Alligator mississippiensis: one gene and its partner. The protein of the gene in region 1 purifies or fractionates together with the protein of each later gene. This does not show direct contact. Links are inferred from orthologs where the notes say so. Each region holds a gene or a part of one and is shown on either strand. Other genes may lie near its edges.

Region 1 (15,639 bases):
GCTCACCCTGGCTGAGCAGCGCCTGCCCCAGCCCCACTCCCTCCCTCCCCCCACCCCTTCCCCCATATCAGACTTACCAGCCAGATGCTGGTCTACAAGCTGCCGGGCTGTGCTCCTGGCCCCATGCATGCTGTGGCTGTGCGCACACACAGGGCATTTATTCTCCAGATTATTGGCTGCATCAGGCAAAAAAAGCTGATTTCTGATACTTTCAATTTTCCCTATATCGGTGCCGATCTGATATGGGGCCAATGTATTCGTGCACCTCTAATATTTGTACATAGCTCCAGCAGATTGCTGTTTCAAAGATGATAATGATGATGATTAGAGTCCCCTGTGGTTCAGTGGTAGAATCCTGTCTGTTACGCAGGAAACCTGAGTTTGATTTCTGGATACTAATACAATTACAGCCATGGAGTCACCAAATGTCAGGACTCAATCTGGCCTTTGGATTCTGTCTCAGAATGGAAGGTCTGGACAGGCTCCAAACTCCTGTCTTGGCATATGCAATGAAGGTCTGGGTGATCTCTCATGAATACACCATGACCCGGAAGGATCAACAGTTGCCAAACTATGAATATTATTTTTATTGTTATTATAGGTGGAGCTAATCCCTATAAAAAAAATAGCCTGTGATGTCATTAAGGATTGTGTCATATTGCAGATGCATGCACAAGGAGGCCAAACGAAAGGTGTCTACCTTAACTCTGGCCTTTCCTAAATGTGGAGTGCTTGATTTTGTTACCTTAATATTCTTTGTAAGGAATTTCACACATATATATATGGCAGTAACATCCAGAGACACTGGCATCTATGTGTATAATACTGCTTCTCATATGTGCCATGCCATGAGGGAACCATACAACAATTGCTTTGGGGATAAATGTGTCACTTTATTGGCTCGTTAACTTATGATTAACTTAAGGACCATTTGTATCCATGAAACAAGTTACTTTTGTTGCCTTCATGCTCAGCTGCTTCTGCCATCTTCATCCTTCAGAGGGTTCCACCTATACCAGACTATAAATACTCTCCTGGCACAGTTATCCTAGGAAACTTTCTGTAGCATATGCAAGGGCTCACTACATCCACAAAATCTTTAAGGAGGCCTAGCAGTATGCATGTATTACTGGACTGCAAATAAAGGCTTAGCTTGCATAGGGGAATTGACTGAACTAACAAGCGCTTCCATAGCAGCCATAGTAAACATAGTGAGCACCTCTGAGAACACTGCTCTGGCTACAGCTTCCTCTCCCAAGCAGAACTCCCATTCAGACACCCCTGCTCGTTGGTTTGCCTAAGTACAAGCAAGAGAGAAGTCAGATGAGAGAAGGAGGTATTACCCTATATATAAAGGTGATGTACATATGTTCAGAGGTGAGGTCCGAAGGGGAAGGCGGCCTGTTGAAAGCTTCTAGGTAAAGGTCAGAGGGGAGAGCAGCAGAAGGGATGTTATGGTGGAGATCTGCTACAGACCTCCAACCCAAGAGGAGAAGGTAGATGAGGCCTTTTTTAAACAACTGATGGAAGCTTACAAATTGCAAGACTTAGTTATCAGAGGGCTTTAATTATTGGGACATCTGCTGGAAGGTAAACACAGCAGTGCACAAGCAGTCCAGGAAATTCCTGGAGAGTGTTGGGGACTGACTAAACAAGGGGTTTCACCCCTGCTACTGGGGAGAAGACAGGGAACTGGACCACAGGGCTAGGTCCTTTTAAAGCAAGGACTTTTAGAGCCAGGAGTGAAAAGCTGCAGCTGAGGGCAAGCTGCAGACCTGAACCTCCTGAGGGCAGGATGCTATGTGGGCCTGAGCAGACAGGGTCAAGTGACCAGAAAAGGGGGAGGGGCCCAGGGTCATAGAAGTGGATCCCTGGCTGCTGGCAGGGCTGGGAAAGAAAGGGATTGGTTGAGTGATGTGATGAAATGTCCCAGAAGATGGTGAGTTGGGGCCCCAGGGGGTGGCCCTCATGATGTATAGATTGCAGTAATAGTGAGTAGTGTGTTGTTGTTTTTTTTGTTTTGTTCTCTTTTGGGCTTGGTGGGGTGAAGTTTATGTCTGGGGACTTTGTTTGGCAGCCCAGGGGCAGGATGGTTCATAAAAAGGAAGAAATCTCTTTATTACAACTGGTGGAATGGATGTGGTTATAAGGGGTGATATGAAGGCTGCACAGCAGAGAGGCGAAACAAAGGACTCTTCTGTAATTCAACCTCAGTTGGTTGGGAGTGCCTGTTTCAAGATCTGGGACCTTCCAGGGCACCAGCGGCTGAGAGCCGACAGGCCGGTGGAGCTGAGGGCTCTGGGCTCAAGACCCAGCAGGGTCACAAGTAGGACTGTTAGTAAGGACAAGGAGGAACCTTGCAAGCAGCAAGGCAGAGGCCCCTGGAAGGGGCCTGGACACTACTAGTATCAGTGATGTGGATAAAGATGAGCCAGTAATGAATGGCTCTGGATTCCCCCTCCATTTGGGATGAGAGAACCTCCCCAGATTATTCACCAATAAGGTGAAGCAGGCAAGTGAGAGGGAGTGGAGAGTGTGAAGCCAACTGGGGATGGAACCCTGGGTCACATGCCAGTGGTACCCTGTAACAGTGATACCTTTTCGGTTCAGACGGTAGAAAGGCAAATGAAGAGGGAGCTCTTCTTGGCCTATTGCTCACAAACAAGGAGGAAATGGTTGAGAATGCGCAGGTGGGAGGTAAGTTGAGTGCCAGTGACCATGAAATAATAAGAGTTCAAGATGCTAAGTGGAGGGAGAAAGGAGAGCAGCAGAATAAGGGCACTAGATTTCAGAAAAGCGGACTTTAACAACCTCAGGGATCTTGTGGGTCCCTTGGGAGGCAAGTTCGAGGGGAAAAAGGAGTCCAGGAGAGATGACTGTAGTGCAACAGGAGACTAGCCAGGCAGGACAATCCTTTCAAGGAACTGAAACTAAAAAAGGAATGCTATAAAAAGTGGAAACTTGGTCCTGGTACTAGGGGAGAGTATAGGCATATTTCACGGGCATGTAGGAAGAAAATCAGGGAGGTAAAGGCACAACTTGAGACGCAGATGGCAATGGACATAAGGCAATATAATGGGATTCATCAGGTGCATCAAAAATGAGAGGAAGATGAAAGAAACCATAGGTCCGTTATGGAATGTGGAAAACAATCTAGTTACAGATGATGGAGAGAAGGCTGAAGTATTTAATGTCTTTAGCTCAGTTTTTATGAAAAGGGGCAGCTACCATCTGACAAGTGCAATTCCCAGCAGAGATAGGGAAGGAGACAAGCAGTTTAGAGTAATGGCAGAACAGGTTCAGGATTACTTAGAGAAGCTAGCTGCTTTCAAGTTGGCAAGACCTGATGGGATGCACTTGAGGGTACTGAAAGAATTGGCTGAGGTAATTTTAGAGCTACTGGCAATCTTTTTTGACAACTCATGGAAGTCGAGTGAGGTTCCAAATGGTTGGCAAAGGACAAATTTAAAGAAAGGGAAGAAGGAGGATGCAGGGAACTACAGATCAATCAGCCTGACCTCAATACCAGGGAGGATCTTTGGCAGCTCTCTCTCAAAGAAGGCTAACATCAACGAGGAACTCCAGCGTAGGATCTGATGTGACAGCTCTGCCTTCAGAAGACTGGACATGACATCAGGACTCAAACAAAGCTCCTACCATATAAGGTTGTGGCAATCCTAACTCTTCTCTATAGTTGTGAAGTTTGGATGATCTACAGGGACCACCTGAACAGTCTGGAATACCATCACCAGCGCTACCTCTGGAAGATCCTTGGCATAGAGAGGGAGGATCATCACATAAATGCCAGTGTCCTCACTGACACTAGCACCCAGGGCTGGATTAACCCTTTAGTGGGCCCTTGGCAAGCAAACTTGTGGGCCCTGGGCTGGTCAAGACCTCCCTCCCCACCCCAGTGCTGCCACTGCTGCTATTAGGGGACAGTGGTGGCAGCGGCACCAAGGCCAATGGAAGGGAAGGGAAGGGAAGGGAAGGGAAGGGAAGGGAAGGGAAGGGAAGGGAGGTGGATGAAGCCATTCACACCACCACCATGGAGGAAAGGACCTGGGGTCCCCACAGCTCAGGGCCCTAGCCATGTGCCTAGTTTGCCTATGCGTTAATCTGGCCCTGTTAGCACCACCATTAGGGAAGCACTGATTACTCAACATCAACTGCAGTGGATAGGGCACTGTGTGTGCATGCCTGATGTACATTTACCAAAATAACTGCTATACTCCCAACTCGGCTAAGAACGAAGGACACATGGGGGCCAGAGGAAATGCTTCAAGGACACCCTCAAGGTGAGCATTAAGTGTGGCAGACACACCACAAATTGGGGAAAAATTAGCTTGGACAGGGCTACATGGCAATGCCTTGTGAGAGAAGGTACATCTTACTTTGAGGAAAACTGTCTCACCCTGGAGACAGAAAAATGACATAAATGAAAGGAAAGGAAACAAGAACAAGAAATGCTCTGACCCCTTCCTTTAACCACCTGTAGCATTTGACAGAGAGTATGTGGCTCTAGGATGGGCCTTGTTAGTCATAAATGACTCATTTACAACCCTTTAGTTGATCTGTGGGACTGATCAGCCTCAACCATGGGAGTTCACTGACAGCCAGCATGGATTGGGTCTCAAGGAATGCATTGTGAAACACTTAGAGGAGAACAAGGTGATTTCAAACAGACAGCATGGATTCACAAATAGCAAGTCGTGCCTGACCAACCTGATTTCCTTCTATGATAAGGTGACAGGCCCTGTGAATGGGGGAAGAGCAGTGGATATGATATACATTGACACCAGCAAGGCTTTTGACACTGTCCTACAACATTCATATTAACAACCTAAGGAAATACAGACTAGCTGAAGGTATTGTAAAGTAGATTAAAAAAACCTGGTTGAATCATCATACTCAGCGAGTAGTCCTCAATGGCCTGATGTCTAGCTGGGAGGAAGTATCAAGTGGGACTCATCAGAGCTCTGTCTTGGGTCTGGTATTGTTTAACATTTTCATCATAGTTTTGGAAGATAGGATCGAGTGCTTGCTTGTCAAATTTGTGGACGACACCATGTTGGGTGGAATTGAGGATGCTCTGGAAGTTAGGGCTAGGAGATCTAAAATAACCTGGATTGAATCAGGTTGGTCTGGAATCAATCAGATGAGATTCAGCAAGAACAAGTGCAAAGGCCTGCACTTGCGATAGAATACCCACAGGCATAAATACAGACTGAGGAATGAGTAGCTAGGCTGCAGTACTGCAGAGTAGGACTTGGAGGTTATGGTGGGCCATAGGCTGAACACAAGCCAGCAGTGTGCTCTTGTTGGGCAGTGGGGGAGAGGAGCAAACAACATCCTGGATTATATTAACAGGAGTGACTTGCAAATCAAGGGAAGCGATTCTTCTCCTCTATTCAGCACTGGTGAGGCCTCACATGGAGTTTTTTGTCCAGGTTTAGGACCCACGCTTCAAGAAGGATTTGGACCAATTGGAAAGAGTCCAGTGTCCAGAGTGACAAAAATGATCAGGGGCCTGTGATATGAGACCCATGAGGAAAGGCTGAAAACGAGGGTTATTTTAGTTTGGAGAAAAGAAGACCGGTGGGGGGGGCGGATTTGACAACAGTCTTCAAATACCTGCAGGGTGATTATAGAAAGGAAGGAAATAGGCTTTGCCTCTGTGGCTATAGGGGATGTTACCCCTCAAGCTGCAACGGGGAAAATTTAGATTGGAGATTAGGAGGAACTTCCTAACTGAGGGTGGTCGAGGAGCCTAAAGAAGCTGTGGAATCTACATTCTTGGAAGTTTTCAAGAGCAGGTTAGAAAGACACTTGGCTTAATCAGGCAGGCCTTGAGCAGAGGGCTGGACTAGATGACCCTTTCCAGCCATATTTCCTATGATTACAGAACAGCACTAATTATTTTTCAGGGGAAAACTCTTTATTCTAGAATAATGTCCACATAAGAAAATAACTATCTTGATCAATTTTCTCAAGAAGATAAGAAATATTGGCTGATGGGAAGGACTGCAGGCATGCAAGTTTTTGCTAGGAAAAAGTGAGTGGGTCTTCATGTATCCAGTGTGTATGCTTTATATCATGACAAATGAAAGCTAATCTGCAGTATCTTAGTTCTCTTTCATTAGTGAAGTAAGAGACTAAAGTAGAAGGGAAAGGATCAAAAGGGATGAGATGTCTAGTAACAGCTTATTTTAAACGTCAGCATGGTGAAGTGTTAGTAGTCAGGAGCCAGCTTATGACCTGGTTGCCTTTCACAGCTGAAGATTAAAAAGAAAATCCAAGCAGCAAAATCAGTCTAATTGAAAAATATACCTTATAGTTTTGCTTATGAAAAAATAATATTATTTAAATGTGAATTATTGTTGACCAGGACCCTCCCGCACAAGGTGCTGTACATTCCTGGAACAAATGCACATTCCAGGGCACTGATGTAAACCCATGTAACTATATGCACACACACAGATTAATTATACAGCTGCTACTGATTGCCCACATGAATTCACTGTACATACAATAATAACACCTACCTACATATTTGTAACTCGTGACTCAAAACTGTTGACATTCCATGTTATTGTTGACATGGTATCTTAAGGGATAGATTGGGCACCTTTGCTCCATAATATCCTCCGAGCAAGGCATCCCAGGAAAAGGTGCAGCGGCAGAATCAGGGTCTCAATGGATATTCAGGTAATCCTATGTGTCTACGAGAAAATGTTTCTTATTTCTGCTGATACCATGACAAAAGGAAGACTGGCACGGAGGCAGGCAAAAGAACAGCTTCTGCATAACACTTTGTCCAGGTACAGCACAGTGCATCTTGGTACAGGTCCACACTATGAAATCCTACTAGCAAAATAATGGTGGTTAAAAGCATGAACATGACACCCCTAGCCAATGTAAATGTACCAGGAGCCCCTTACCCCCATTATGAGCGTCCTTTTGCTGGTCTATGTCATCTCAGGCAGTGGGTTAACTTAATGAGCAAGACTGTCTGTTGCTGGTATAAGCTGAGAGCCTCTCTCCATTATCGGGCTGCTGCTGCTGCAGCCATAGCTGTGCAGGAGTTGGGAATAGCGGCAGGACCCCCTTGTGGAGATGCAACATATGGCAACAGAGGGGTTTTTTATTAGCCAGATCACACCCTCAAAAGGCAGAAGCTGAGCTAGCAGAAGGCCCCTTCTGTCAGCCTAGCTGTCCCCAGACAAGGGGCCTGCCTACAGTCGTATCAGCGGGGGTGGTTATTTGTTTAACACCTAGTTGACATAGCTTTGCCACCACACTAAACAGACTGAGCTCCAGTCTCCTGGTGAGGGCCTTTACCAGTATAGCTCCACTACTATTGCTGTCATGGCAAAGCATTTGTAATGCAGACTGAACCTGAATTTAATTCAGGCAGAAAAAGGCACAGCTCTGCATCCTACTTTGATCCCATCCAGATGCCTTTAGCATGACCCCTGGATTCCTGAAGGATAACAGCCCTTCTGGACTGTTAAATCTCTCCAAGAGCACCCTGATGCTCCACTGATTTCAACTAAGCAGGGTTGAAGGATGGCTGCACAGCAAAGACACGAGAGGGACAGCAGGAAAACAGTTAATTGTGTAAGTAGCTGCCAGCACGGAAAGGAAAGGAACCTCGTATCCTGCTGTAGGAACATGCTTATTTCTATCCTACCCTGGGCCAGGAGAGCGTGGCACATCTCAGGGACACTTTCGAACAACAGAAGTGTTATCATGTTCCTGACTGCTCTGCCAAATGACCCCTTACAAGGATGAATCCAGATAGTGCAGCTGAGCAGAACTCCTCCCTCTCTTCCCGCCCACTTCCACAGATGATTTCTACCCCTGCTTGAACTAGGCAGGCTTGGCTCTGTAGATAAAAGGAAACAGGAGGGCAAGTCAGTGCAGGAGGAGGAGACTTTCATTCCGTGGAAACAGGCACCGCTCTCACTTGACCACACTACAGACACCTCGGGGCTGAGCAACCCGGAGCGCACCGGCTCCGCTACCTCACTATAACACTACCTGGATGGTAAAGGCAATCAAAGGACAAGAACAGAGCCACAGCTGATCACATCTGGAAGAACCTCTGGCACCCTGAGAAGGTCAGCGCGGCTCTCACGAGCGTCTGCTCCACACGTGGCCCGGCCCGGAGCCGTCCCGGTTGGGGCAGGTCGAGCTAGTGTCACCGGCCTGAAGGGCCGAGCGGGCAGCTCCGCACTGGGGAGCGGGAGCGAGGCCGCGACAGCCGGGCAGCCCCGCCGGGTTCCACGTCGCAGCCCGAGCCGCGGGCGGGGAAGCGGGGGCGACCCCCAGCCCTCCCGGCGCAGCTCCGCGACCAGCCCAGGCTGCTGCCGGCACCGGGCCGTACCAAGGCCGTGGGAGGGAGGGGGGTGAGCATTCCGCGGGCGGCTCCGCTATTGGCTGGAGGGAGCTGCCGCGACTGCGCAGGAGGCGGCAGAACCGGCCCCCCCCCCCGTCCCGGGAGTGGTCTGTGCCGCCGGAAGTGCCGGCCGCGCCGGGCCTGGGAGTCGCCGCCGGGTGCGGGGAGGTGCGTGCGGCGCCGCGTGGGGCGGGCGGGGGAACCGGGTCCGCGTGGGGTGTCTCGCGGGGGCGCCGCGACGCCTGGGCTCGGTGTGGCGGGGCCGGGGTTCAGTTTCCGCCGGGGAGGGGGCCGCCGGCAACCGTCGCGCTCGGCCTCGCCCGCTCCTTTCGGCGAGGAGCAGCGCGGGCCGGGCCGGGCCCAAGCGGCGGCGGCCACTTCCCCGCGCTGCGGCCCCGCGGAGAACCCTGCGCCGGGCCGTCCCGCCGCATTGTCCGACCTGCTCTGAAAAGCTGCCAAGGAAGGGGCTCCCGCGGCGGCCTGCGCTGCTCCGCGCCCAGAAGCTTTTGTGTCTCGTCGTTTCTTGACCAGCCAGGCTGGTCTCTGGTGCCCTTGAGACGGTTTGGCCTCATCCCGCTGGTGGAAAAGGAGAACAACTGATCACCCTTCTCCTTGTAACAGCCTTCGGCACATGGGAAACTCTTATAATCTTCCCAGTCTCCTTTCTAGACTAAACAAACCAAGTCCGTCGGCCTGTTTGTGTAGATCCTGGTTTCTACATCTCTTATAGCTGGAGTGAAACTAAAGAGTAGGAAGGGTTGAACAGCTGGGATAGCTCCTGACAGTGAAGTTGTGACTTTGTGGAATAATTTTGCTGAAGGAACTGGTGAAAACTTCCACTCCTCCAACCTGCTCTAACTTTTGATGTTTAATACCCAACAGTACAGTGCTTTTGTGATTGCAGCATCCAGGTTTAATTGGTAGAGTAGACTTGAATGCTTACACCAAATAACATTTGCCCCAAACCTATTTTCAGTGCACATACCAGGGTGCTTCCTCCCATTCATAAGGAACCTGGTAAACAGGGATCCTGGTTTTCTCTGATTAAAAAAAATATCCAATTTTTGGTTAAAAATAAATAAAAGTAACCCCAAATCCATATTTTTCTTGTGGAAAAATATGGATTTGGGGTTGTTTGTTTTTTTTCTTAACTGAAAATTAGGGTTTTTTTTTTAAATTGTAGAAAATCAGGATCCCTGTTTATTAGGTTTCTTATGCATGGGCGGAAGCACTCTGGTATGTGCACTGAAAATAGGTTTGGGGCAGATATTGTTTGGTGTAGCCATTCTTTAAAAAAAAATATTGGGGTTGAAATTAGGCAGTGGAAAAGCCTTTTAAAGAAATTCAGAGGAACAAATGTAGTGAAGAGGAAGCTCCCATCTAATCCGACTAAAACTGGACGATTGTATCGTGGAAATTCTCCTGCACGTTCAGCTTTGGTTTCTAATCAGTCTTTGTTTGACAGTTGATTTGCAGGTCTAACGCCAGAAGGAACTGAGATTTGGTCAGTTTTGTTACTAAAATGTTTCCCATTTCTGAATGTGAATCTTTACTTTTGTGTGGAGCTTCTAGTTCCTAGGTGCTCTAGATGCACAGGTTTCCCTCGATTTTATGTGGGTTCTTTATATGCAAACTTGCTCTTATGCAATGAGCATATTTAAACCCATAGTTTATTATATGTGAGGTAAATTTGCTCTTACGCAATCAGTAAACATGCGTGCCCCCCCTCCTCCCCCCCGCCCAAGCAGGTAAGTCTGCGGGGGGAGGGGAAAGGGCCGTGTCCCCACTCACCCCAGCCCCGGCTGCAGTGGCCTTGGGAACAGCCAACACCAGCTGCCTGCACCAGGGTACTGCATAGTGCAGGAGCAGAGGTGAGTGGGGACAGGTGGAGCATGGTGCAGCCTAACAGCTAGTGCTGCTGCTCCTGGCTGTTCCTGGGGCCGTTCTGTTCCCTCTGTTTTGCTGTGTTGTGCAGCCCTGGGAGCAGCACCCCTGCCCCTTCCCTAGTCCCAGCCTCCCTCCCTCACCGCCATAGGAACATATTCCTATTTGTTACATTGCAAAGTATGTTTGCTTTATGCGAATTTGATTTATGTGCCGTTCTCTGGGAACGCATGTACAGCATAGATAGAGGGAAACCTGTACTGGAAATTGCTCCATCTGCAGCCATGGCCTGGGGTAAACTGGAGGAGCAGCTTTTACCAGTGCATGTTGATCCTACCCAGTAATTTCTGCTAGGAGCTGGGCTGGGTCTTTACTTAGCACATCCTACAAGTCTCAAGGGAAGAGCACCCCCTACTGATTTGCCAGAACCACCTCCTTCATACCAGTCTGTTACCGCCTCTGAAGCTTACCTGGAAACCTCCTAGGACCACACTTGAAGGGAACAAATCCCATAGCATTTTGTTGGAGGCAGTTTTTTGTTCAGTTCCTACAGGGCTGCCCCAAAGGTCATAGCAAGAATTATAGTTCCCCGGTGGTGCTTACAGTAACTGTTTCATTTTTCCTTCAGTCCCTCAGATGAATATTTGCAAGGCAGGAGTCCTTGAAGGGAAAGCTTAAAAACGGGGAAAGATGGGAAGGAGAAAATGGATACACTCAGAGAACCAGTGCACTGAGAGAGAGTACTTTTGTCTAATCATTCAGCTATAATAATCTTAGACGTAATTTCAAAACAGAATTATGGAGAAGTTTAAAATCATAGGGTATTTTTAAATCCTTTAAGCTCTTCAATTGTACTTAATTGAACTTGGTTTACCAATTAATCTGGGTTACTCTATAGGCAGTATCACGGTGTCCTTGTTTAATCACTTGATCCATTTCTCTTCTATGTGGAAATCTTTGAATGAAAATTTAGCACACAAGAATATTGTGACTGTGAAAATGATCACTGAAATGATCACAGGAACTCAATAGTGTTTGCAAAGCCAGAAACACCTTTTATTTTATTTTTTTTTAAACTTACGGGAGTACAAATGAACAGCGGCCTTCAAACTTCAGACAAACAGAGTAAGCGCATTTGATACAGAAGGCACAGACAGAATAACTAGAATTTTATGAAATAGGACTTTATCTCTTCTGATTGCAGCTGCACATCAAAAGCTATGTATTGCTGTGATCTGGGGAGGGGGTATTAGTTACCTTGCTCAGGTCTTAAGCTGTCCTGTTCTTTCTTTTTCTCATATATTAAAACAATAAATAAACAAACAAAAAAAACCCACACCCCACTGCTATGAGTTATCTGCCTGGGATGAACTTTGTTCTATTTTCTTAACTCAACTCTAGAAAATTCTTACAGGAGTTGCTTTCCCAATAGGATGACTTGATTTGACTAAATGGTTATATTACTCTGCACATGATAATGTAAAAGGTGAATCATGTCCTACAGCCCTGGCAATAGTGTGCTTTTCATCACTGATCAGTAATTAAAGAATGTTTCTGTGTACTAGCTACTATATTACATGCTACTTGAATTGCTTGAAATATCATAATTTGTGGCTGCCTTTTACCAAATTAAACATTATAACATCTGTAACCTGGGTTACAGAACCTGCAAAGATCAAACAGGGAAGTCCCTTGTAGCCCTGGAAGCTGCTTTAAGAATCCTGATGGTCCAAAATGGTATTCATCTGACTCCTAGCTGCATATCATTTTAATATTATTGATTAGTTAGCAGCTCAGGGTGGGGGGTGTCTTTAAATAGAATGTGGAGGTGTTACAAGTAAGACTAAGCTGATTTTTGCATTTCCATGTGATACCTGCCGTCTGAATTTCAAATCACTTTTTTTCAAATAGGTAAGCCTCTACACCTGTTGTGAGTCAAGTAACTGTGGTAGGTCTGCTCTGCCTTCCTCTTGAGTCCTGGAGTATTGCCAAAGCAACTAAGCCCTTTCTGCTCCCTCCCACTTAACACATGCCCATCTGGCAGGTGGGTACCTTAGGTGCAGGATTGTACACCAAGACCCCTTCTTTCTCAAGTGATCTTTCCTAGGAGAGCCTGGGCCCGTACAACCTTCCTCCACCACCTAATTGCAGGGTTTGGGAGCAAGTGTGTGGGGCTTGTTTTCTTGGTGGCAGTCCTGGGCTCAGCAGGATTGCAGTCTAGCCATGGTCTATCATCCCTGTTCTACAGACAGCAGGACTGGAATTGAATGGATGTGATATCAGATTTTCTGCCTTGTTAACTCCCACAACAGGGCCTGATTGTCATCCTTTTGAAAATCTGGTAACATGCTTGACTTGAAAGGAATTGGTAGAGCTGAAAATGAGAACCATGAGTTCTGGCTTCTACTTCTTACCACTGTTAGTAGCCAAACAGTCATTTTTGAACTGCAGCTGGTGAGCTTTACTTCTTTTGGAGCATTACTAGAGCTTATTTTACATCTGTACAGTCACTACAGTATGAGGCTGATAGAGTCCCTGATAGATTGCACAAGACATGATTGTGTAACACCAGAATGATCTATTTGTAACAGCATGATGAAGCAAAAAATATGCAATTCTTGTTAAGACCAAGAGAAAAAGCACCCTTTTTAAATCTATGAAAAGAAAATGAAGAATATACTAGACTTCCACTTTTGTGCTCGTTAAATCCGATATGTCAGTAATGGTGGGGGGGCATCAGTTGTCACCATTTCCCCAGTGGGCTCTCTTTTTAAAGTAAAAATTAACCTCAGGCCTATTATCCTTAAACAGCTGTCATCCTGGATGGGGTGATGATGCACATTTTGAATAGCGTGCCTGTATTTAAAGCATGCCATCAAGAGTCAGAAAATCTGGGTTCCATTTTGGACTCTGCACTGAATCACTGTGTGACATCAGGGAAGTCATAGCCTTTTTTATTTTCTCGTATAGTAACTACTAGGGGTGTACCGATAAAGATTTTCTTGGATGATACTGATAGTGATAGCCAGTGATTAACTGATATTTAGTAAGAGTGCATGGCATTTTAAACTACTGACATAAATGAACTTTTTGTGTATTTGTTTTGTATTTATAACACATGCACATGCACACACCTCCTACCTGCTCAGGCCCTTGATGAGGAAGGTGGTGACTACCTTATTCCCACATAGGTCATCCCCCTTGCCCACAGCTACCCACAGCCCTGCTCCCTGTTCAGCCTGTGCTAGCAGGTGGGATGGACCCTCGTGCAGACAGTGGCACCAGGTGTGTTTGGAGCCCCAGAGAATGGCACTGCCTCCACACCAGCAGGCCCCACATAGCCGAGCTCCCATGGCCGCTGGGGGGGGGGAGCCATTTTTACAAAGACATGGAGTGCCTGGTGGAGTAGAATGTCCCTCTCACGACACCCTACCCTGCCCGCTTGCAGCCCAGCAGCAGCCCCAGCGCTCAGGTCCCTGAGCAGGTGGTGTTGCCATGGCAGTGGCAGCAGCAGGAGGAGAGCCAGTAATGGTGCCTTTGTTGCTAAGTGTGGGGACCTTGTGACCGCTTCCCAGCATCCCCTCTGCCTCCTGCTGCTTGCTGGGACCTGTAGTCTGCCACAGACCTGGACTGGTGGCAGGGTGTGGGGACTGGTCTACAGTCATCAGGATGCTCTGGGCACATGGTCGTAATTACTGGCTAAAATGACCAAAAAAAGCCTATAGCCTATAACTTCTCTTTTTATCAGTGCTGGTGTGATAGCCAACCAATATTTCAGTGCACCCCTAGTAACTGGTATGTAGAGTTAGGGATGCACTGATAAAGGTTTTCTTAGCTGATACCAATAGCCTATTATTAACTAATCATATCAGCTGATGCCAACATAATAACCAATTTACTTTAAATTGCAAGGCATTTTAAAGTACTGACATAAATAAACTTATTTTAGCACACTCCAGCAGCCTTTTGCTTCACATGTATCAGCATCCTGGTACTTAAAAAGGGTGGCAGGGGTGCTTCAACTAAAGTTCATCAAATGACCTTTAGTTCAAGTGCCATCACCACTATTTTTAAGTGCAGGGACACTTTTAAGCAGAGCAGAGCGGGGTGAGGGCAGATGCAGGCTGTCCCTGTGGGCTCGGGTCTCTCCACTCAGCTGCCTTTGCGCTGGGAGCCCTGTGCTGGCCACGCACCCCCTGCCTGCCCAGCAGTGGGGGGCACAGCTCACCACCCTCACTGCTGCTGGGTGGGCAGGGGGCACACAGTTGGTGTAAGACTCCCTAGGGAAAGGAAGTAGAGTGGAGAGCCCCGAGCCCACAGTGAGCAGCCCACATTTGCCTCATGCACAAATCTGGGTGTGCACATGTCCCCCTATGCCTCCCCTGGGGGGGTGCAGTGGGGGGGGCTGCCTGTGGCTCTGTTCTGCTCCCCACCCTGGCCCTGGGTCCAATGCACAACCCTGGCTGGGCAGCGGCCCCAGCCCCGGCTCCACTCCCAGCCTCGCTGTGGGGGCCTCAATCTGCACCCCCTACCCTTACCCTCCCCCATGCCCCTTCCTCTCCATAGACTTAGCTGCAGGGAGCTGTTCTCCATGCTGCCCAGCTATATTCCTGGCCACGTGCATGTGTGTGGCTGTGCATGTGCATACGGTGCCCCCTGTGTCTCACTCGTGGCAGCCCCAAGCAGGGCCCCTGGTGGGCTAGGATGCTGCCTGACTGCAAGGGGACACGAGGCATCCAGGGCCCTTGGACCCACGGGGGAGAGGGATCCCAGGTGTTCAGGGCCTTGGCCAGAAGGCATAATTATCCATAAACATTATTGGCTGCAATGTCCAAAAAAAGTCGATAGGTGATAACATCATTTTTCCTTTTATCCGATAGTCAACTGATATATTGGCGCATCTCTGTGTAGAATGGCTTCCTACAGCTGTTGAGAGAGAAACATCTAATGTTTGTAGTGTTCTGAGGCCCTGCTATAGAAGGTACCACCGAAGCACTATGCAGTGTAATTATACCCTAACAACGAACTCTTGCCTCTAATGAACATCAGGCTGATATGTACCTGTTTGGATTAATTAGAAATTTGGAGCTCTTAAAATTCTGGATGGGTTTAGCTTTTATTTAACAGCCCACTGTTCAAAAATAGCTTGTCGCTTAGTTTCAAGGAAACATTGAGGCAAGTGTCAACTGCTGCCATCAACATCTGCCTGAACCCTGGGCAGCTCCAAGGCTTTTGCTGTTGCTCAGATCTCTGCTGAGGGGCAGTAGTGGGAAATGTCAGATTCAGGCCTGCAACTGGGAAACCTTAAAACAGCAGATCTGGGTCATTTTCCTTCTGCTGTTGGATGGGAAAGG
Region 2 (15,259 bases), on another chromosome or scaffold:
TAGCCTAAACTCAAAGATAAAGATCCTTCACTTGTGGCTGTCAAACAGCCCCCTAACCTTGCCCATCTCATCGTTAGAAGCAGATTTACCTCTGCCCAATAGACATCAACTGGGACACAGCCTTTCTTGGCAAGAAATGCTTAACCTGTCAGCACATCTCTACTACCACTACTGTCAACACCTCCATAAAGAAACCATCAGAATCTATGGTTCCTACACATGTCTTCGCCAAAGTTTGATATATCTGATCCAATGTACCAAGTGCTCTTATGGCAACTATGTGGGTGAAACTAAACAGCAACTATACACCAGAACGATAATGATTTTTTGACCACAAAAAAATATAAAGGACGGAGACGTACACATACCACTAGAAGCACATTTCTCACAGAAGAACCATTCCCTCCCACTATTCTCATGCTCACGGTTAATCTACCTAACACCTTTAAAAAGGTGAACTTTGGAACATAAATGGATACATAAATCTTGGACACAAAGAATCAAGGATAAAAATGGATATCAGTTTTAAGGCACACTATATTTTACCCAATTTCTGATTTTTTTTCCAGCACAGGAAAGGCGAGAATGACCCTCCTCTCTTTTAGAGGGCTTGATCTCCCAGGGATCAGCTTATTTTCTTCTGTTAATTGCGTACCTGCTACTCATGGGGATTTCTTTCACCCTCCTTCCTCTACTGTTTTTTCACTTATGCTGTGCCCGCCTCCCTCTGATGAAGAAAAGTTTTGCATTCAAAAGCTGCTTGTCTAACTTTATCCCAACTACATAGTTGGTCCAATAAAAGATCTCACCCAAAGAAATCCTTGCCTCTCATAATTTCTGCACCATCATGGCTACATCATCATTATTACACTACTGACATTCAATATAACATTTTATCTGCTTTATTTGAATTCCAAGTTATTTTCTTTGTTTGACTCCCATCTTTAGATGGCACCCTACTACAAACATTGTCCATATAAAACCTGCACAAGTTCTGTTGGAACTTGGTCCTGCCACATGTTTGAATTAAAGCTGAATAAAAACCAGCTATAGAGTTGTCACATATTTCCAAGCACTAACTTAATAGCTGTAATATGTAGCAGAGGCCTCAGGAAAATCACCTCACTGGTGTCCTTATAACAACAAAGGCTGATTACATTTCCAGGGAAGGAATGTTAATTCAGGTCTTTAACAGAGTTTTTACTCCATGATTGGGTCAAAGGAATAAATGGTAATCACCCCAATCTGTGGTTCTCTCAGCCCCAAGAAGATCAGTGCAGTACATTACCCCATGCAGGATGAATGCCACTGACTGCTCTGATCCAATACCAGCTACAAGAGCAGGCTGCTTGTGGGCTGGGCTCAGCTGGGGATGGCAGCAGCAGTGGTGGCAAACGGGTGGGTTTCTCCCTGTGCCCGGTCCCCCAGGAGCAGGTGCAGGAAGGGGAAATTCCTCCCACACCACCTCCACAGCTGCTATCCCCAGCTGAGCCTGGCCATTGTACAGCCTGGCTGGAGTGGGCAGGAATGGCTCAGGAGCTTTCCCTGCCCCTGGGCAAAGCAGCAGTAGGGTAAGGGGGGAAGGCAGGAGGAATAGAGAGGAGGGATTGTGTATGTCCTGAACCAGACATGACATGTGCCAGTGCGGTGCAGTTCTGGGTTGGAAACTGCATGCTCTAATCCAAAATATCTGAAGGAAGAATAAGGAACTGACTGACATCAGGAACTGCAAATGTGTGGTGGGCACATACTTAAATATCTTTAACTTAATTATCAGTGTGATGGGCTAGCTGGCAGTGATTTAGCCCAGGGGTTTTGAAGGGGCAAAAGATGATTGGAGGACTTGGGATTCCCTTTCCTCACCAATCAGGCCCCAGAGACTCACCCTCTGTGTCCCCTGATTGGCCCCTTGGGTCACCTGGAGGGGGATAAAAGGGGCAGCACAGCTGAGTGAGGGGAGACCAGTGAGGGACCACAAGGAAGGAGTTTCAAAGAGCTGGGCCAGCAGGGTGGGAGCAGTTGCCCCAGGAAGCACCTGAAGGAGTGGGACCTGCAGGCAGCAGTGGGACCCTCAGCAGCGCGGCGTGCGGCCGGCAGGAGAGGCTCCCGCTGGGCTCCAGGATCCCCTACAAGAGGCTGCGGCCAGCAGGAGAGGCTCCCCAGCTCCAGCAAGGATCTGAGCAGCGACCTGAGAGGTTCCCAGCTCTGCTTCCAGCTCCTCTAATAAGAGGCCAGGCAGCTCGTCATGAGGCCGGGGCTCAGCACTTGTGCACCTGCTTTGATCCCTTCAATTGGAGAGGGGGTACCTCTTGGAGTACCACCTGGGTTACATCAATATTTTATGTTAAAACTGTATTTGCACAAAGTAGAAGAAAATCACTCTAAATGGATAGATAAGATTACATATTCATTGCTTAAAGATGTGAGAAGTGCTTGTCCAAAAATCACTCATGCTGGCCAAAATTTCTGTCTGAGAAGACCATTCTGTATTAAATGAGAAAAGCCAATAAGGAAAATGGACCAAGTCGGCACATATTCAACACCATGTACTTAACATGCAGGCACAGGGGGCTGACAGGTGGGAGGATGGCACTTGAAAACCAAGCTCTGGGTTGGGTAGGGCCAGGGGAGTCCCCTGGTGGAGGACGTGTGTGGTTTGGGGTGACCCATTGTGGATTTTGCCCCATAATCCCAGCCTAATCTCAGTCCCTTATTATAATATTTGCTATATTATATTACAGTTTTATTAGTCTAATAAAAATGAGCATAAAAACACATTTTTGATGAAAATCTGACTCTTTAGCAATGAATTAGACATGCTAATTTAGCAGGCTTGTGTTTCAGAGCTTGGGTTGAGGCCCAGGCTTGAGATCCTGCTGTTTTGATTGGTGGAGCCCATCAGGAGGCAGCAAGAGAAATAAAGTTGCACCCCTTTCCTGAGGGGAGGGGGAGAACAGCTCTCCTGGACCTGATTGAAGACTGCAAACTGTCAGGTCTGGACGACCGAGCTGTGCGGGCAGCACGAGGGAGATGCTTCAGGGACAGAGAAGAGTGGGGTTAGAAGAGCTGAGAAGAGCTGCACAGCAGTAGCCCAGGAAGGCTCCCTGAAGACTTCTATCAGTGGGGAGTGATGGATGGCTCCAGCGGTTAGGCTCTTGGTGCACAGCACAGTGCACAGCGTTCAGGCCCTGGGAGCTGCGTTAGGCGGCTCGGGTCTGCAACCTCTGGCATGTGGCCAGAGACATGGAGCACAGGCTGGTGCATGGAGCAGGATCTTTGGAGCCCCTTGAGCAGCTCAGGTCCACAACCCCCAGCACGAGGCTGGGAGCTCAGTGCAGGAGGCGCTGCACAGAGGGTGAGAGACCCTGGGAGCCGCTCGAGGTGGCTTGGGACAGCAGCTCAGGGCAGACGACACTGCCCAGAAGGTCCGGGATCAGACCAAGCCCGGTGCTGCACAAGGCTGTCTGGTCCTCCAACCCCTAGCACAAGGCCAAGTGCCCAGTACACGCAGTGGTGCATGTGGCCCTAAGTCAGGCTGGTGGCAGCAGAGTCAGATGAACAGAGCTTGACCTGGAGAATGGGAGGCAACCCTCTGGGACTGGAGTAGTAAGTTACCCCGGAGAGAGGGTCCCAAGAGGGGAAGGACCCCCCAGGGTTGGGGCCGCTCCTGGGTGATAGTGGGGAGCTTAGGAGTCTTTGGGGTCTTCCTCTCCTTTTTCTTTCCCCCCACCTCCTTTCCTGTAATGGTGCCTTGGGAGTGGGGCCCCTGCCCTGGAGGACACCCAGATAATCTAAGGATTGTTGGTTATATTTGTAGACTGTGCCTTACGGTTTATGTGAATAAGTTGAAGCAATAGCTTGTATATTAATAGTTATAAGGTTGCCTGATCAATATCCTTTGTTCTAGGTTGTTCTATTGTTCATCTGTATTTTTAAATAATAATTGGTTGTGTGTACTTATACATATAAGGTTTATTGTTTTGTAAATGTGTGTGTATATATATATGTAGATATATATATGTGTGTGTGTATATATGTAGATATATATGTGTGTGCATATATGTATATATGTATGCGTATGTGTATATGTGTATATGTGTGTATATATGTATATGTATATATGTGTATATATGTATGCGTGTATGTATATGTGTGCATATACATATATATGTGTGTGTGTATGTATGTTTGTGTGTATAATTTATGTCCTTACCCTTTAATAGTTTTGTTGTAATAATAAATGCATATATAGTTAAGTAATTGATTAACTGGGCCTGACTCTATAGGGAATGGAGGTGGCTGCTGGGCTGTTGTGTCCCTCCGCAGCACACTACCTTGCCAATAATTCCCTCAATTGGAGAGGGGAGTACAAAGCCATGTACACCCGGGCTACACTAATAGCCTCTAATTTTGTAAACAGTAACTTTGAAAAGGAACCAGGAATCAAGAACCCTTCAGCCTCATTCCTTTCTTCCCAGCTTAAGCAGCAAACTTAAAGCCAAACCCAAATGCAATCAAATGCAGCTGTGGTGCCTTTCGCTAAGCTTTCCCTAAGCTTTTGCTCTGCTCTGCTGGCTTCTCCCACCTTGGGTCTTCCTGGGCCTGGTCACAGCTCCCACTCACCTGTGTCCCTTCCTCACTCAGCACAGATGCACATTTCTCACTCTCAGTAACAGAGCAGGGTCCCCTGTTAAGAGCCTGGCTGCCGCTTCTCCCCAAGAGAAGTCTGTTTCAAGGCTTCCCACCCAGTACACACTTTCCAGCCCTCTCCTCTGATCCCTGACCCTCCCACTTAGGGTGGTCATTCATCCGGTTTTATAGAGGACAGTCCAGTTTTCTGGTCTTCTGTTGGACGCCTTTATGTCTTCTGTTTTTCAGTGCTTGGTGGCAAAGCACTCCCCCCCCCTCCCCCCCTCCCGGCCACTGCCTTGGCTGCTTGTGGGAGCTCCCTGCTCTGCCCGCCCTGGCTGCCGACACCACTGCGGCTACCTGTGGGAGCTCCCTACTTGCCGCTGCCATGCCCCTGCCGCCTGCGGGAGCTTGCTGTGCGCCCCCAGCCTTGGGAGGACCTGTCCTCTATTCTTAAGGTACCTTGATGGCCGCTCGACTTCCACTCCTCTCTTGAACACTGGGCTGCCACCATTTCCTTTTCTGGTGCCCCACCCCTGCCCCTTCACCTCCCAGTTCTAGGCACCCCACCCCTCCCAATGGCAGGTTTGAGCCCCCAAGACTGAAAAAAAGCCAGATTTCAGCCCCTCCCCTCCCCACACTGTCAGCCAAACAAGACGGTTTGAGAAAGTCCAACCCCCGCAGGAGACCCCTAGACCTGTGGGGTGGAAGAGAAGATAAGCCAGTTTCAAGCCCCCCCCATGATCAGAAGCAACAGGGTCGGGGGTCCCCAGCTTATTGCACTGAGTGCAGCATGTACGATTACCTGCCCCAGGGACAGGTTTCATGTGTGCAATTGGTGCAGGGAACTCCTGGTGCTGCGAGAATGAATATATCCCCTTGTGGCTAGGCTGGTAGAACCGGAGCCGCTAAGGGAGGCAGCGAGGTTCATAGATGAGGCTTTTAGGGGTGTTGTAGAGCAGTCCCACCTTCATTGTAGCAGCTCCCATGCTGCTGAGGGGACTGAGAGCCATGGGGATGGAGGGCATCAAGCAGGGACGGAGGGAAACTATCCTTTAGATGGGACCCACCTTCCAGCTGATGGTACAGTGTCTTCTGGCACATAGGATACTCCTCCAAGGGAGGGAACCCCACAGGACAGAAGGGGCAGGTGGTGGTAGCGGGAGATTTGATTATCAGGCATATAGATAGCTGGGTTTGTGACATCCGAGAGGACCACATGGTGACTTACCTACCGGGTGCAAAGGTAGTGGACCTCACAGGCTGTGTACATAAGGTGCTAAGGAGGGTTGGGGAGAAGCTGGTGGGTCAAGGTCTATGTGGGTATCAAGGATATGGGTAAGGAGCGCAGCTACATTTATGCTGGAAGCTAAATCTTGCTTGCTAGGTAGAAGGCTTATCCTGGTAACATGTCCTTTTGCTGTTGCACGCAGCGCAGCCAGCCCTTCGTTGCTTCCACAGACATGAGAAAGCCAAGCCTGAGCTTCCCTGAGCACACCCAAGCTTCCAGCTCCCTGTGTACCATTAGATCCGGTGGGTGCTGTCTGTGAGCTGGGGCTGCACCTGCGCAGCTAGCACCCTGCCCGGGTGGCAGCTCATGCTCTGCTGAGAAAAAAAAAAGGAAGTGGCAAGGGGGCTACACGACTCACGGGCAGCTTACCCCCCTGCTGTGGGAGACAAAGGCAGGCTCAGGGAGACAAAAAGGATCAGGCCCCCTGTCACTTTTTTGTTTTTCCCCAGTGGAGCCTGCCCATGTGTGCTGACACCCGGCTGTGCAGCCCCTGAGCTGTGGGGTTCGGGGCTGGTGTTTCTCTTTGTGGTGGTGGTGCCAGGACTGCCTGGGCAGGATGCTAGCAAGCGGTGCCACACAGGGAGTGGTGCTGCCACAGAGGGAAGCACAGGAGTCCCCTGCCGCTCAGGGATTGCTGGCAGCTCACCCCCATGACTGCGGGAGCCGTGGGCAGGCTACAGGAAAAAAAAGGATTGGGCCCCTCACTGTTTTTTTGTTCTTTTTCCTTTGGCAGAGCCTGCCTGCTCCACGGCAGAGGTAGTGGGGGGCGTGAGCTGATGGGGCCAGTACTTCCACCATGATGATGGAGGTCCCTAAATTGAAATGGTGGGTTTTTAATCGGCACAATTAAAAGCCCACTGATTAAAAACCCACTGTTTCAATGTAGGGAGAACTAAACCCCTGGCAGGTGTACATGTGGCCTGGGCGATCAGGGTGGAAAAGCGGTGCTAATGGATGACAGGGCCATTGCTGAGAAACTCAATGAGTTCTTTGCATTTGCCTTCCCTGGGAGGATATTCGGGAGATTCCCTCACCAGATCCACTCCTCTCTAGGGAGTGGAGCTGACCCTAACTGAGGTTTCGATAGATTATGTTGTAGAGGACATTGATAAATGAAACAGTAGCAAATCACCAGCACCTGATGGCATTTACCCCAGGGCCCTAAAAAGGTGAGAGTGGAAATTGCTGAGCTACTAACTAGCATACAACTTATTATTACAAACAGCCTTGGTACCAGAGGACTGGAGGGCCGTCAACGTGATTCCCATATTTAAAAAAGGCTCCACAGGGGATGCAGGAAACTACAGGACAGTCAGCTTAACTTCAGTACTGGGCAAACAGAGAGAAACAATCATCCAAAAAAGAACCATTTGGCTCTGCCCGAGGGAAACCGCACCTCGCCGGCCTATTGGAGTGCTTGGAAGGTGTCATTAAGCAGGGGGATCAGGGTGGTCCGCTTGCCACTGGCTGCCTGGACTTCCACAAAGCCTCTGATAAGGTCCCTGACTTGGGGTTCATCACTGAGCGAGGCAGTCAGGGGAGCACCGGCAATGTCCACTTGCGGTTCAGAAGCTGGCTTCAGGGCCCAAAGCAAAGAAGGAGCAGAAATGGTTCTTTTTCAGGATGGAAAGAAGCGAGCAGCAGGGTCCCCCAGGGGGAGCAGGGCCGTGCTCTTTAGCACAGGCAAAAGTGATCTGGAAAGGGGGCAAGTAGCGAGCTGGTCACACGTGCTGCTGACAGAAAGTTGCGTGCCATGGTCATGACCAAGGCAGACTGGGGGCACTTGGGCAAGCATGAACCAAAAAAAAAGACTGGCCAGGCTGTGCACAACAGCAAAAGCCTACAGCACCCAGTATTCCCGGGCAGTCTCCCATCCAGGTACTAACCGGGCCTGACCTTGTTTACCTTTGGAGATCAGGCATGCTGAGGGTGGTACAGCCATAGGCACCAGCCCTGCCTCGCCCGGCCCTTTTCAGGCCAGTGTACACCCCGCTCCCACCCCGCACGCCTGCTCCCGGCCCGCCCCACCTCCCCGCGCGCGCACACAGCCTGCCCCTCCCCTCACACGTGCGCCCAACACCAACCCGCGTGCACCCATGGCCCACCGCCCCTGCTTGCCCCGGGCGCACGCCGCCCACCCCCGGCCCGCCTCCCCCAACTCCAGCCTGCTGCCGGCCTCCCGCCTCCCTGCTCCAGCACCCCACCCCCGACCCGGGCCCCACCTCTCCCCTCCTGGCCCCGCACACAGCCTGCCCCGCCACCGCACCCAATCCTAAACCGCGACCAGGAAAAGACAATCCCCAGCCACGCTCCACCAACACCCGCACGGAAACGGCGGGCCCAGGCACTGGCTACACGCAAGCTTCCCCCCAACGTCTCGCAGTCCAGCGCAAGCCCAACACCTGCCAGGGACTCACCGGGGCCTTCGCATCCACAGCCCGGCCTGGGGGGCGCTCAAGGAGGCCAGGGCCGCCGCCCAGAGCCTCCAGGCATTCCTTGCGCCCGCCTGCCCCGGGCAAGATCTCAGGGGCGTTCCCTCCCCACGCCCACTCCTCTCCAGGGACAAGGCAGCGGGGCTGACCCCAACCCAGGCCGCAGCACCTCAGGCGGGAGCGGAAACTGACAAACTCCACCGGGGCCGACCACCGGCACCTGCTGGCGTTCGGCCCCGGGCCCTGGAGCAGCTCCAAGCGGAAACGGCCGCGCTCCTAACCGCAGCATGCAAGCCCCCGCCGAAAACCGCCCGGGTCCCCGAGCCCTGGTGGGCTGCCAGCACCCAAGGACAGGCTCCAGAGGGGATGCAGGGCACCACGGGCCAGGCGGCCTATCTTCTGCTCCCGGCAAACCGGGAGAAACAGGCGTCCAATACAGAACCGTAGAATTCATCGGGCGACGCAGGAGCCTGAGCAAGGCGCACCTACGGCCCCACACGGTAAAGGGCAATTGTGATGTGCTTGTGCCTGCACGCTGCCGCCTCGGCACCCCCAGCCCGCCCAGAGCCAGCACCAGGCCCGCCCCCACAGGCTGGGGGCGCAGCACTCCCTCAAGCTCCCCCGCCCGCTCCACTCCACACAGGCCCACGCGCCTCGGGCAAGGGCGCTCCAGGGCTAGGGCAGGGAGCCCAGAGCACACGCGCCTGCCTGCCTGGCAGTGCCCAGCCCAGGAGGCCAGAGGCACCGGGCACCCCGGGCCCCCGGCCAGGGACCAAGAAAGAAGGGCTGGCCAGGCTGTGCGCAACAGCAAAAGTCTACAGCACCCGGTATTCCCAGGCGGTCTCCCAGCCAGGTACTAACCGGGCCCAACCCTGCCTAGCTTCCGAGATCAGACAAAATCGGGCGTGTTCAGGGTGGTATGGCCGTAGGCGCCAGCCCTGCCTCGCCCGGCCCTTTTCAGGCCGAGTACGCCCCGCTCCCACCCCGCACGCCTGCTCCCGGCCCGCCCCACCTCCCCGCGCGCGCCCGCCCAACACCAAGACGCGTGCCAGCCGCTAGGGCGCGGCGCAGGCAGCCCGAGCCTTTCCGCAGCCGGAAGGCGGAAGTAAGGTTCTGGTCCCAGCCGGAAGTGGCGCTGGTCTCTCCAGTGCGGGTCCATTGAGCAGTGAGGCCCCCACTGGCCCTTGAGGGGAGTAGAAGGGGACTGAGCCGCGTCCCGGCTCGGTGCCCGTGGACGCCTGTGTCCCTTGCGGAGCGGCGCTGCCTGGCGCCTTGGGGCCCCCGTTGCCGGGCGGAGCGCGGCCGCGCCCTGCCATTGCCCCCGGCCCTGCAGCGCGATGGCGACGCCCGGGGGGCTGGTGTCCAACCGGGGCCGGCGCTTCAAGTGGGCCATCGAGCTGAGCGGGCCGGGCAGCGGGAGCAGGTGAGGGCCCCCACCCCCCGGGCCGCCCGCCCCGCTCCCTGCGGCGGCTCCGCTCCCTCTGCGGCTCTCGTCCCGCCGCGGGGCTTCCGCTGGGCGTCGGGTGCTGCCCCCGCTCCGGGGCCGGGCCGCTACGTGCGGGGTCACAAGCGGCGGTGGCAGGACTGGGGCCTTGGCGGCCAGGCCGGGGGGAGCTCCAGGAAGCAGCCGCTACTGCTGCCGCCCCCCGGGGAGCTGTAGAGCAGCCCTTCCCCCGAAGTGGCCGGCTGCGCAAGACCAATTGAAAACGATAAGGACCGCCAGCGAATTTCTGTCATAGGAAGTAACTATAATAAATCTGCTGACGCTACCGCTGGTGGTGCGCACACCGCAGGCTGGGAACTGCTGCTGCAGAGCGCGGTGGGGCGCGGGTTGCTGCGTGGTAATACAGCGCAGCCTTTGCTTGCATCCGCTTGGCCAAAGCTTGGGTGAGAGGAGGTGGCACAGGAAGGGATAGGCCAGAGGATGTCCCAAGGCCTGAGCCAATTTAGAAATTTCAAGGAAGATGGAATAGAAAAAAACCCAACAACTTGGTTCAAGGTCTCACTTAAAGCATGTTCAGGAGTTAGAGCTTGTCTAAAATTAGCTTTGTCTATCATATAGAGCAGATAGGAATAGGTGTATGAATATTCATTAGCATAACACCAGTTAGGAACACTTATATGTATAAGATGAAACCAGATTTTGTTCTGTACAGCTTGGCTAAACCATGGAAAAAGCTTCCTAAATAAGGTTGGTTGTTTTTTTTTTTTTTTAATTATTTATATTAATTAAAATTACTGCTGCCCCCCCCCCCCCCCCCCTTTCTCTTATTTAGGAAGCTTTTTCATGGTTTGACTGAGCTGTAGAGTGGAAAATCTGGGTTCATCTCAGAATCTCTGTTCTTGCTTGAACAGCCCATCTGCAGGTGAACTAAGAGAAGATCTCCGTTAGGACTCTAGAGGCGTTTTGAGACTTTAGGACTTAAAGAAATTCATTTTAAAATTCTCTCAAGTGTTAACAAGATAGTTATTTCTTTAGATGAACATGCATTTTATAAAACCTTAATCATTTGTTTAATATGACTTAGTTGTACAGTTTAGTCATTTATGTACTTTCAGTATTTCACCATCACATTCATGATTACAGTTTGTATTTATGTGAGTAAATATTTAGGTTTGAAGATCCAGTCCTGCTAACATTTTTGTTGTGCTCAGAATGTATTTCTTTTGGCTGGTGGAGGTCAACAGATCCCAGATACAAACCACCACCACAGCCAGGATATAGAGTAAGGGCCACCCCTGCCCTTGTACTTTGCAGGGGGGGGGTTGGGCTTCAAAGATTAAGGCAAAGGTAGAGGTAGGTAGGGGTATTTCCCTTCTTACATGGGGGGAAAAGGAGGGTCTTGCTCCACCCACATCTGTATAAGGTGCCACTAATTCAGAAATTATGGAGGGATTTCTTAAGTCTAAAAAAAGGTTGAGAACCACTGTTGTAGGCTTATCTGTTTTCTCTCTCTCTGCTTCCTAGGGGCCGTAGTGACCGGGGCAGCAGCCAAGGTGACTCCCTTTACCCTGTGGGCTACTCAGACAAGCAGGTTCCTGACACCAGTGTCCAGGAGACTGACCGCATCCTGGTGGAGAAGGTACCAAGGGCTCGGGTTGAAGCAAGATCCCATGCTGGCAGATGAGTTTGCAGGCTACCTGGGCTTAAGGTTGAGAGTGAAATCCTGGAGTAGGGGGTGGAAATCTCTGCAAGATGCTGGGGTCCTCTTGGTAGGGGAAAGAGAGGCAAGACTTATATCTTCTCTTTATGTGGAGGGAAGTGTTTGGGATCAAGGGACTTTTGGCGGGGGGCAACTATGGGGAGCATCCCAAGAACAGCTGGGTTCTTTTTGCAGGTGTTAGGAGGGCATCAGGCCCCGGAGAGCTAGGCTCTGAGCATGGCATCACAAAGAACTTCCCCAGGATGCCTGGGGTCAGGATCACAACTCCTGGCTTCTCTTGTGGGTCAGAGATCTCAAGGTGGGAAACTGCTTACAGAATCTGGGCTGCATTGGTAGAAGTGATTATTCCCTTCTCTTCAGCACTGGTGAGGCCACATCTGGAGTACTGTGTTCAGTTTTGGTCCCCCCACTACAGAGAGGATGTGGACAAACTGGAGAGAGTCCAGCAGAGGGCAACAAAATGGCTTTGGGAGCTGGGGGACATGACTTATGAGGAGAGACTGAGGGAACTGGGCTCATTCAGTCTGGAAAAGAGAAGATTGAGAGGATTTAATAGCAGCCTTCAAGTACCTGAAGGGGGTTTCCAAATAGGATGGGGCTGTTCTCAGTGGTGGCAGATGACAGAACAAGGAGCAATGGTCTCAAATTGCAGCAAGGGACGTTTAGCTTAGATATTAGGAAGAATGTTCTCACTAGGAGGATAGTAAAACCACTGGAACAGGTTACCCAGCGAGGTGGTGGAAGCTCCATCCTTGGAGGTTTTTAAAATCTGGCTAGACAAAGCTTTGGCTGGGATGATCTAGCTGGGGATGGTCCTGCTTTGAGCAGGGGGTTGGACCAGACGTGACCTCCTGAGGTCCCTTCCAACTCTCACTTTCTGATTCTATCCATGTTCTCTCCTCAGCGCTGCTGGGATATTGCCCTGGGGCCACTGAAGCAGATCCCCATGAACTTATTCATCATGTACATGGCTGGGAATACTATTTCCATCTTCCCCACCATGATGGTGTGTATGATGGCCTGGCGCCCTCTTCAGGCCCTCATGGCTATATCTGCCAGTAAGTATCTCCAGTAATGCCAACTCTCATGAAATTATTGCGAGTTGCGATTTCTAAGTAAAATTAAGTCTGACTCATGATCTTGTGCGAGAACTCTCAAATCTTAGGAGTTTTTTTTCTTCTGGCCTCAAGCAGGCTGGAACCGGCCACATGGTCTCTGGAAGCCTGGGTGGGGCCCAGCTGTGTAAGGGTGCAGGGAGTCCTGCCAGGGGAGCAGGACTGAGCTCAAGGCCATAATGGGCAGGGGAACTGCTCAGGGTGCATGTGCAAGGGAGGATTAGAAAGAAGCATCTCATAATTTACATACCAAATCTCTTAAGAGTTTGTCTTTTGATTTTTTTGATACAGTGGGGTTGGCAACACTGTATCTCCCACAGTCTTGTTAATATTTAGTCTTCTACAGCCTCCCCCACTCCATCCACAAACCACGACCATTTCTGCTGCTAAGTAACAACCAGCCCTGTCCCCTGCCTAGTCCCCTCCTCTCCCACCCTCCTCCAGTTCCAGGACCAACCTCATCTCCTGCAGCCTTAGCACCTTTCCATATTTGAGGTTGTAGTGTGGGAAGGACACCCAATATCTGGAGGTCTCCACGTCTGATCATCTTTTTCTCCTTCCCTCAGCTTTCAAGCTGCTGGAAAGCTCCAGCCAGAAGTTCCTACAGGGGCTGGTTTATCTGATTGGCAACCTATTAGGACTGGCACTGGCTGTCTACAAGTGCCAGTCAATGGGGCTGCTGCCTACCCATGCCTCTGACTGGTTGGCTTTCATTGAACCTCCTGAGGTGAGTCGGTATAGACTGGCATTAGAGGAAAGAGAGGGGGAGGGTTTGGCTCTGGGAAGTCAGAGGACAAAGGTTGGGGGGATGATAGAGTTGTGCTAGTTTGATCTTTTCTCTCATTGCAGCGAATGGAGTACACAGGTGGTGGGCTACTTTTGTGACTACTCTTCCCAGGGATACCAGGGCTTGGGCCCCCATCAACTCCAAGCTGGATGTTGTACTGCTAAAGTATGCTGTGGGGGAAGCAAGACAAGCCCTGGTATCTTCCTTTCTCTGCTGTGTAGGGACTAATAAAGCTGCTGTGTATATGAGGCAAAGTCCAGTGTCTGCTGTCTGAGAAGGAAGAGGGTATGGTACACCACAGCTCAGCCTCTCCAGCAGGGAGACAGGCACTGTACTGTCAGCAACAGTGTCTTTCCTGTACTGCTAGATCTCATGTTAGCCAGGCCCTGTGCAGTTCTATGTTAAAGTGCTGTCAGCATGAGGAAGTAGTAGGAGAAGCACTACTCCCTGGAGTGGTAGGGAGGGGATATCATTGTTAAACACACAACTTCATCCCCAGACACTGCAAATCATGTACAAAATTTTTTTATTTTTTACAGTTCTGTTACAGAGCAAAAAAATGCACATAAAGAGTGACATGTAAACAGGGGCCTCTTGTCCCCTAATAAATTAAAAATCCCACCCTCACTAAAAAAAAAAATCCCTTCAAAATAAGTAAGCAAGGAAGAAGGGGTTTTTTTTTTGTTTGTTTTTTAAATTATTATTGGTTTTGAGGCTCCTGGGTGATTTAAGGTCCTAGTAACCATTTTAGCCAGCCATGATTAGGAATACAGTAAGCATCTCCTTGTGCTCACTAACACAAAGGGAACTTGCTCTCCCTTTAGGATTGCACTTGCTCTTGGCCAGGCATCCCCCAGTGCATTTGCTGGGGGGGGGGTTTAAACAGTTTTTAAGATAAACAGATTATGGGGGAAACAGGGAAAGAAGACTTCTAAGAATCCCCCCACCCCACCAGTGAACTAGGGTACCATGGACTGATAATGCTCCCTTTCCTCATTTATCTTGGGTCTATCACTGTGAGGTTAGAACAAGTAATTGGTGAGCTTGAGCCATTGGTGGATCGTTAAAATAGTAACACCAAAAACAACTCTGAGTGGTCAGCCAGACCTTTCACTACAGCCACCAGAGAATTACAGCCAGTGATAGGATAAAGCTGGTGCTCACTCCTAGGCAGCCCCTCCTGGGAAGGAAGGGGCCCAAAGGAGTCCCTGATTATTAGGACAGGGAGGCAGAAAGGGAATTTTGTGCCAGTGCCTGTCGGTGCTCTGCTCTGGCAAACCAATGGAACAGTCACCAAAGCCCCAGTTCCTGAAACACCAGATTCCTTTGAAGCCAGTCTAAGTGAGAAGAAAGGTTATGGGGGCCTGGGTCAGACTAGACAAAAAGGGGGGGGGGATAGTCCAGAAGAGCCTGAAAAGTCCCCTACTTCTCTTCCATACATGCACTCACTCTTTTTCTCTACTTAAATAATACGAAAAGCAAAGCAGCTTTGGCACTGCATGGAAAGTGGAATTGGAGAATACCTGCTCCACATGACTCCTGGGGAGGGGGAATTCCCCCACTGCAACCTATCCATTTTAGATCTGTCCTCTACTTCATTCTGTACCATACTACCCCTCCCTGCCCTGCTGTGTAACAATCTCTACCTCCATCCCACCCCCTTCAGGTTACGTCCCTTCACTTCCTCCCCCTTCTTACCACAGATTAGATGCTCAGGTAATGGCTCAGTGTGGGGTGTGCCCCCACCACATCTACTATCCCACTCCATTTATCTGTCCAGTTGCCCCTAGCTACGCTAATTCTGATCTGTATCAGCTCCAGGGTTAGGACCAAGGAAGTGT

What was found.
Region 2: the proteins of NADPH--cytochrome P450 reductase (region 1) and EMC4 purify together in Homo sapiens (affinity purification with mass spectrometry; 3 studies listed by BioGRID and IntAct, with this or other methods). This does not show direct contact. The link is inferred for Alligator mississippiensis from reciprocal best matches to the Homo sapiens genes POR and EMC4.

What each region holds. Positions count from the first base shown.
Region 1 is NC_081837.1:17,421,709-17,437,347, reverse strand, and holds the start of NADPH--cytochrome P450 reductase, read left to right. Parts: upstream 1-7,886; 5' UTR 7,887-8,123; intron 8,124-8,480; exon of another isoform or gene 8,481-8,569; intron 8,570-15,639. UniProt on the Homo sapiens protein: This enzyme is required for electron transfer from NADP to cytochrome P450 in microsomes. It can also provide electron transfer to heme oxygenase and cytochrome B5.
Region 2 is NC_081830.1:36,416,517-36,431,775, reverse strand, and holds EMC4 (ER membrane protein complex subunit 4), read left to right. Parts: upstream 1-9,474; 5' UTR 9,475-9,689; coding exon 9,690-9,775; intron 9,776-11,320; coding exon 11,321-11,435; intron 11,436-12,420; coding exon 12,421-12,574; intron 12,575-13,197; coding exon 13,198-13,358; intron 13,359-13,480; coding exon 13,481-13,516; 3' UTR 13,517-13,666; downstream 13,667-15,259. UniProt on the Homo sapiens protein: Part of the endoplasmic reticulum membrane protein complex (EMC) that enables the energy-independent insertion into endoplasmic reticulum membranes of newly synthesized membrane proteins.